Caenorhabditis elegans: one gene and its partner. The protein of the gene in region 1 purifies or fractionates together with the protein of each later gene. This does not show direct contact. Each region holds a gene or a part of one and is shown on either strand. Other genes may lie near its edges.

The links. The genes of interacting proteins can lie anywhere in the genome.
Region 2: the proteins of pfn-2 (region 1) and lbp-2 fractionate together in Caenorhabditis elegans (co-fractionation; one large-scale study listed by BioGRID). This does not show direct contact.

The regions. Positions count from the first base shown.
Region 1 is NC_003284.9:5,352,263-5,356,453, reverse strand, and holds pfn-2 (Profilin-2), read left to right. Parts: upstream 1-2,381; 5' UTR 2,382-2,399; coding exon 2,400-2,522; intron 2,523-2,608; coding exon 2,609-2,780; intron 2,781-2,826; coding exon 2,827-2,927; 3' UTR 2,928-2,936; intron 2,937-3,000; 3' UTR 3,001-3,351; downstream 3,352-4,191. Other genes in the region: chtl-1 (Choline transporter-like protein 1), read left to right, coding at 148-249, 306-377, 448-557. UniProt on the Caenorhabditis elegans protein: Binds to actin and affects the structure of the cytoskeleton. At high concentrations, profilin prevents the polymerization of actin, whereas it enhances it at low concentrations. By binding to PIP2, it inhibits the formation of IP3 and DG.
Region 2 is NC_003284.9:3,258,249-3,262,330, reverse strand, and holds lbp-2 (Fatty acid-binding protein homolog 2), read right to left. Parts: upstream 1,722-4,082; 5' UTR 1,530-1,721; coding exon 1,212-1,529; intron 1,156-1,211; coding exon 1,042-1,155; intron 996-1,041; coding exon 942-995; 3' UTR 861-941; downstream 1-860. Other genes in the region: lbp-1 (Fatty acid-binding protein homolog 1), read right to left, coding at 2,578-2,631, 2,690-2,803, 2,862-3,173. UniProt on the Caenorhabditis elegans protein: May play a role in sequestering potentially toxic fatty acids and their peroxidation products, or it may be involved in the maintenance of the impermeable lipid layer of the eggshell.

The DNA of each region.
Region 1 (4,191 bases):
ACATTTTAAAGCTAATTTTTTGCACTCTCTCTTTATAGCACACTAAAAAGCCAGTATTTCATTTTTCAGAAAACTCCCAAACCACAATACTCTTTTCAAAATTTTTTTAAAACACAACATTAAATGAAAAATGCGTTTATTTTTCAGGCATTCTCAGTTTCTACTACTTTTCCGGACGATGGGTTGTTGAAGGTGTTCCGAAAGTCGATCTCTACTACTATTTTGTGCCAATTGTCATTGTGGTCATTGGTAATACTTTGAGCAGTCATTTTTCGACAAAAAATAAACAAACAATCCCATTTCAGGCAGTTACTTCATGGCCGACCTGTTCTTTGATGTCTACGAAATGGCTGTGGATACAACGTTCATTTGCTTCCGTAAGTGCAAACCACTTTGATGAATTTGATTTTTTTTTTCGACAGTTCCCTAAACATTCTCAATTTTCAGTGGAAGACAGCGAACAAAACGATGGAAGCCTTGAGCGACCGTTCTTCATGTCCGAAAAACTACTTGAAATTCTTGGCAACAAAAATGACATCCCCCTCCATTCAAAATGATCTCAACCCGAAACACCCATCCCTGTGCATATCAGCTTTAAAAGCCAAATTCTCATGTGTAATGATTAACTTATACATCCCGTGGTACATATTTTTGCACACGTGTACAGATAGAATTTTCAATTTTCATTTTCTTGACTCTTAGACTTTTACGGTTTTCAAAAATACCCACATTTTTCCTGTTATCACTCTGTCATCTCATGTAATCGTTTATCACTCTATTTTTTATTCATGAAGCACATGAACACATTTACACATTTTCGAACCATTTTTTTGTCGATCACGGCGCACCTCGCAACAAAACAAATTGTTGCGTTCAAAGATGTGTGACCAAACAACAATATGTTTTTCCTTTTGGCGACGTGAATAACGTAACATGTCGTGAGAATTGCACGTGCGCTCTATTGACAATTTTCAGAATGATTGTTGAATATTTCAAATTACGAAATGTTTCTAGAACAATCACTATCGAACGCAGACCATTTGTCATTCTGCCACGGGCGCCGAGGCACCGCTGCTATCGCTCCATCCTCATATACACACACATTCACCTGTTTTTGCCGTTTAGTGTCGCGCGCGCGCTCACCACTTTTCCAAATAGTTTGCACTGTTTCCACAATTCACTGCTGCTTTGCTCTTCGCTTTCCTATGAGGTTCCGGCTCATTCTTCCCATTTATCACGTAGTAGTCAGGCAAAGTTTAAGTCGCATTTCTAATTTGAGAATATTATATGATTTTGATTGAAAATCCGTTAAAATTGTAAAAATCTAGTTTTAATATTTTATCGTTCTCTAAAAACCTTATACGACCTGATTTTTATTACCAGCCCTGCTTCCTCCAGTAACATCATTTTATTGTCAAAATTGATCCGCGTGTTCATGTTTATAATCTTGCCCTACATAGCTACAACCTAGGCCAGCCTATTCAGCTTTTCGGCCAAATGTTTAGGCATTCTGTAAAATTTGGACGCTTTGCAACAAGAACACCCGCGCCGTTTTGCAACAGAGACTGCATTTGGGCTGTGAGGTCTAAAGCTGTGGTCTAAGAGCGCTGGTTGTTCATCTCCGCCTGTGTTTCTACTTCTTTAGTCCTGCCTGTGTTTCTCCATCGTTTTCCATTTCTTTCACCACGACCACCCCCACTGTGTCCACTGGCCGGTCCGTCGTCCCCGCCGTGTCCCGTCCATCCATCCGTCCGTGAGATGCGGCGTTGTGTGTTGGCGAGGGGCGAGGGGCGAGGGGCGAGGGAGAGTGTCTTTTCGGTGGTCTGCGCGGGTAGTGTGAGGCGGAGTGTATTGGGAATGAGAGGAGACAGGAGTGCGGGGTGTTTGTGTGTGTATGTGTCTATGGAACAGACACCGAGCATCGATCGATGGTATTATGTGTCCACCACATCCATGGTTGATGCATTATTTTCATCAAGCTTCGAATTTTTCAACTCTGTCCACCCAAGCATTTCCCTTTGTGTTATCAACATATTCCGGCGCGTGTTCTCTTTTTCCTACACGAACAATACACACACCAACGTTTTGATAACGGTCTTCAAACCGGCGGCTGTCACCTTCATTCTCCGATTGTCTTAACTTGTTGGTGTGTTGTTCACGCCGAAAACAAAAAAAATTCCTCCAATATGATGTTGCCATCACTTTATTTCGACAAAATCAAAATTTCTATCAATAACACTTTTCTTTTTTATTTTTCTCCCTCCCCCTCGCGCCTGCTTCCCGAAATGATTCATAACGCCTGGGGTCCTGATTCATATTCCCGTCCGCATCATTCTTTTTTGTTCCTCTCCAAACGTACTCTCTATATTATTTTATTTCAGAACCAGTACACCTACAACATGTCTGGCTGGGACGACTACATTAAGCTTCTGTTCGGAAAGAGCCCAGCCATCAAGAGAGCCGCTATCATCGGATCCGACGGGTCGGTTTGGGCTAGAAGTGGGGATGCCAACGCTTTCCGGGTAAGACGTTTTTTTTTTTTAATTTTTTAATGACTTTTTTAAAACTCCAAGGATTATTTAAAATCACCACAAAATTATAATTTCAGGCTACTGAGGTAGAGCTCAAACGTTTTGCTGCTCTGTTCAACGACATCAATTCGGTGCCTGGAACCGGCGCTGATTTGGAAGAAATTCACTACATTGTTCCCCGCGTCGAGGAGAAGCTCATCTTTGGAAAGAAGGAGCAAACCGGATTTTTCGCTGCCAAGACAAACCAAGGTGACCGAGTTCTTATTTCTTCCCAAAACGATGGTTTTTTTTTCAGCTATTGTGATTGCAATGTACGAGGGAGACAACGCTCAATCGGCTTCAGTCCGTGCCGGCGTCGAATACATTGCCCAGTACCTGGCCAGCTCTGGTTATTAGATACCTAAGGTAACAAAATACTTTTTGTTGGAATAGTTGATGAACCAATTACTATAAACAGTCTTATTTTCAGATTTGGAAGCAGTACGGTACCAGTTGCAACTCGATTCCCTTATGCTGCGCTATTCTCGTTTTTGTCTATGTGTGCGTGTTTCGCAATTCTTCATGTTCTATTCGGTCAAATTAATTAACAATTCATTGCTTGCTATATTTTACTCTCGTTCCTTACTATTTGCTCTCTCAAATTTTCTTTTATTAAAATATTCTTTTCACTCACTTCATTTTTCAATTTTCGAGGTTTCGGTAAGTCATTCCGAATTGATTCCAATTTCCCCACCCCCATCCCATTCATCCCATTCTTTTCTTAAGTGATTCTTTGAACACGGATTTTTCCTTTTTTTATTTTATAAATCGATTTTCGTTGACGATCAGCGCCTGATTCATACATTAATAAAACATGAGAGACGCATAAATGTAGAGAAAGAAAACTATGGAAAAATTGAAGTCAACTGCAAAGAATAACTGGATCCAAAAGAATGGATACTGGACTAACTTGAAGCTTTCGATAATCATAAGATTTTAGAGAAAATATCTCTCATAAAATTTTTTAATGTTTGACCCAGAAATATGGTACCTCCTGGTCTCGACAAGACTGCTCATTTTTGATGCAAAAAATTATGCTTTTCTTAAAAGGTACCGTATTTTTAGGTTTTGTTAATTTGAAGCTTATCGAAAAAGAAAGCAAAGTAGTGCACGTGAAGATTTATGAAGTGCGTTAAATTTAAAAAAGAATCAAGGAAAATTCGGCAAAGACAAGTTGAAAGTGTTACCAGGTTATACGACAATTGGATATTTTTTGGAAGTTTTTGCAGTTACTGGTTTCTGACATTTTTGGCTATTGGGAATTGCTAGCTCCTCGACATTTAAGCAATTGGCAATGTCGGCAAATGCTAGTTTCCTAATTTTTCAAGCACGCAAAAATTTTGATAATTTATGGTTTTTGAAATTCTCAGTAATTTGCCGTATTGGAATTTGCTGATTTTATTTGTGTTTTCTCGAGAAATGTTACACAAAATTTTCTTTGTATTTCATGACTACTAGAACTTATTCAAAACACTTTATAACATTAAAAAAAATGAAATTCTTATCAGAATTCTCTTTATTGAAAGAATTTTAATTATAAAACCAATTCTTGTTGATATTCAAAGCATAGGTCACACATAATACAACAAAAAAGACAAAGGCACACAGAGAAAATATTGAA
Region 2 (4,082 bases), 2.1 Mb from region 1:
CATTCTTTTTTATTTCATAAAACTGTTTAGCATAGTCAAAAATACCAGAATATGCTAATCAAAGTATATTAGCTTGTACGGAAGTTTTTTTTTTTTAATGATAAAAATATATAAAAGCTGGTTTTTTTCAAAAATTCAAAAGTCCTGGAAAGTCATATGGAGTCATTCTTTTTTATTTCAGAAAACTGTTTAGCATAGTCAAAAATACCAAAAAATGCCAATCAAGTATAATAGCTTGTACGAAAGTTTTTTTTAAAATTACATTTTTAGCACATTTTTAGCACATTTTTAGCACATTTCAAGCACATTTCTAGCACATTTTTAGCACATTTCAAGCACATTTTTAGCACATTTTTAGCACATTTTTAGCACATTTTTAGCACATTTTCAGCACATTTTTAGCACATTAATGGCACTTTTTTTTGTATGATAGAACATGTAGAATATAGGTGCTAAGTGATCTTTATCTCTGCATAAATAATTGAAACAAAATTAATGTGTAAAAATAGTAGAAAATTTTTTTGGTCCACTTTCAAAATTATGAGTGGCAATAACGGAGTCACTTTTCAACAGTAAATGAACAATTTTCCAAAATTATTGATATTTGGTCCTTTTGGCACCATAGGCGTAGTTTTTTGCCAATTTCCCACTGGTGCTACTCAACGTTTAGATGAAATCACATAAAGAAAACGACAACTGTAGTTTAAATAATGGTTGTTGCAGAATTTGGCAGCGAGATCATACTCTAGTGTTAAGTTTCTTACCTCAACATGTTCATTTTTTAATCTGTAGAAAATTAAAAACTAATAATTGGGATAATACATTCCACCAAGATTCCAAATTGAAAACATCAGAAGATTGCTTGAAAATAAATTTATTTTTTTCGGAAATGAAATTGAATTGCAAATTTAAGAAAATTTCAATAGAATAAGTTTAAACTTTTATGGGAGTCTCTTGTAGAATCTGCGGCCTTCGATATTGTTGAAGCTCATCTTCTGTAATTAACAAAAATGTATGTCAAATAGATTGACCAAATTTTACCTGAATAAGAAAATCTCCATCAAAGTAATACTCATAGGTTTCTTCCTTGGATTCTCCCTCTTCAAGTGGCTTGTGATGTTCGAACAAGTGTCCGTCCTTGAGAGTGAAGGTAACCTGAAAATTATAATTGAAATAAAAATAAAATAAAAAGTACATGGCATGGAACTCACCTCGTGCTTGGTGTTATCAAGACCCTCTCCTTCGAACTTGCTTCCGATCTGGACGTTTTTGTAGAACACATCTTTTTTCGATGTCAAGTTGGAGTAGTCGAAGAGGTTTTTGTTAGCATTCTTGGCAAAAACCTTCTTGAATGTCGCAAAGGTTACAAGCTTTCGAGTGAACCATCCGTATCCTTTGGCAGTGAGGTACTCATCAAAATTTTCAGAGTGATCCAAGTCGAAGGTTCCATAGAACTTTTCTGGAAGCTGTTCGGCAGCCACAAGGGTAGCTCCACAAAATGCGAGTAAGATGAGGAATTTCGAAGACATTTTTGTTCAAGTCAATGACTGAATGACTGAAGTGTCCACAGAAATGAAGATTGATCAAGACTCCGCCCAGTTGCTCAATCGACAACACAATAAAACTGAGGTCAGCCACGTGTGTAATATAGGGTCACGGCACGGATGGCAACAACAAATTGATGATCGGACTTACTTGATTTTCAAAAATCCTCACAACACCTGGAAGCTAATAATAAACAAAATTTAAGAGACCGAACGAAAACAATTCATCGATTACTTGTTGAAATGCAGAATGAATTTTGTCGAAATAAATTTAAACGCGTTAAGAAAATTGAAAAGAAAACTGCTACGTTTTTTGACTGCACATCAAACAATTTAAGACTTAAAAAAATATTTTTAATGAGGTCCTCAAGATCCAATGATTTTAGTTATTAAACTATGTATTTTGAGAAATGGTTCTTATTTAATGGTACCTTATTCAGAAATTAAATGTGAAAATCAGGAAAAAAAAAATAAAAAAGAGCATACGAAAGAGTAGAAAAAACTCCATTTTATAGAAAACTTTCGAACACAACATCGAAAAAAAAAAACCGAAAAGTGATTGGATTTTGACCCACCCGAAATTTTAAACTGGTTGTGTCCTTTTTGTGTTTTGAATTACGTTTTTGCAAATATCACGGCGCAATCGAACTTTCATGTTTTGATTCCAGCATAGGTTCAATTCATCTGATAATTTGATTCTTAATTTCAAGTCTTCAATGTGCAAAATTTTCTTTTTAACACTTGTGTCACTTTTACACGTTAACAAAAATTCAAATTTTAATCAACTTTGCTTTCTAGAACTCCTAATATGTACATTTTTAAACCAGTGAAAACATTTCCCAAACAAAAAACTTCAGAGGGCTATGCAGCATGAATCACAAAAGAACCGCGTTATTTTTCTTATTTTTTGCCCCATATCACATTACAGAATCGATCTAACTTTTCAGTTTATTTGAAACTTGAAATACATCAGTGGCAAAAAAAGTACATTGAGAAATCAATTCATACAAAAATTACAATAGTTTCTGAATATTTATGGGAGTCGTTTGTAGAATCGGCGTCCCTCAACTCCATTGAAACTCATGCGCTGAAAATTACAATCATGAGAATGTGAAATTGGTTTTTAAAAAATGTTTATAACTTACCACAAGAAGGAATTCCTTATCGAAAAGGTACTCGTAGGTCTCTTCCTTGGCGTCTCCTCCCTCGAGTGGCTTGTGATGCTCAAACAAATGTCCGTCCTTGAGGGTGAAAGTGATCTGAAAATTAATTAATTAATCAATTTGAAAGGTTACTTGAAAACTTGCAAAAGCGTACCTCGTGTTTGGTGCTGTCAAGTCCTTCTCCCTGGAAGGCTTTTCCAAGTTGGACATTCTTGTAATGGACGTCTTTCTTTGATGTCAAGTTGGAGTAGTCAAAGAGGTTCTTGTTGGAAGTCTTAGTGAACACCTTTTTGAATGTGGCAAAAGTGACAAGTTTACGAGTGAACCATCCGTATCCTTTAGCAGTGAGATACTCATCAAAATTTTCGGAATGGTCCAAGTCAAAAGTTCCATAGAACTTATCAGGGAGAACAGCAGCTGAAGCAGCTCCAACAAGAACCAGGAGAAGAGCGATTTTAGCGCACATGGTTGGCTAGGTCGATGAATGAACGACTGACGTCTTGGCAGGACTGTGGGCTGTGTGTCGACGTCGTCTGCGTGGACCCCGCCTACTTGCACAGTCGTAAACAACATTGTACGGCAAGAAGTGCAGCCCACATGTCGATTGCGCTGACGATTAGCAGAGATGGACGGCTGGACTCGGATGGGTATCGAAAGAGAGTGTAGCATAAATGATTCGGGGCAGATTTTTTTTGTTCCGTGTGTTGGGGTCAGTTCGGATATTTTTGAAGAGAGTAGTTGCATGAATCGGGTCCTGGAAGACCGAACAATCAACTCAAAATAATTTCGTTGAAGGTTTAAGGCGAATCGAATTGCAATTTCCTTATTTGGTTGATATAATTTTATGTTATCATTATCTTTCATAGTCTATAGTATGATTCTCCATTTCTTCAGCAAACATTGAATACGGCAACAGGTCTTCAGGTCTGCAGTTCAAAACACAATCCATGCAGGGCTGGGACTTTGGAAAACCAAAAAAAACTACCGGAAAAAATTATGAAAATTTTTATTCATATAGAATTCGACCCACAGAAAAAGAAAACGACTTCAGAAAAAAAGTTTTTTTGCCGCAGAATTTCGGTACATTCGGTTTTGGGTTTTTTTGGTTTCAAAATGAAAACGAAAAAATATTGTAAGGATCCCATAAAACACAATTTTTCAAAAATATTTTTAAACTTTCAACACTAGCTAAAATTTTTAAGACACAAAATTGTTTTTTTTTCTGGTTTTCAAATGTTTGAGCCCTATTCCCAGATGACAGAATTCATATTAGAGATCATTGTTTTCCAGATGGCCTTTCCCGTAAATTGGCCAATACGATTCTCACGTTTTATTGGGCTACAATAGACCCATCTACTTTGTACCTTGGCTAATC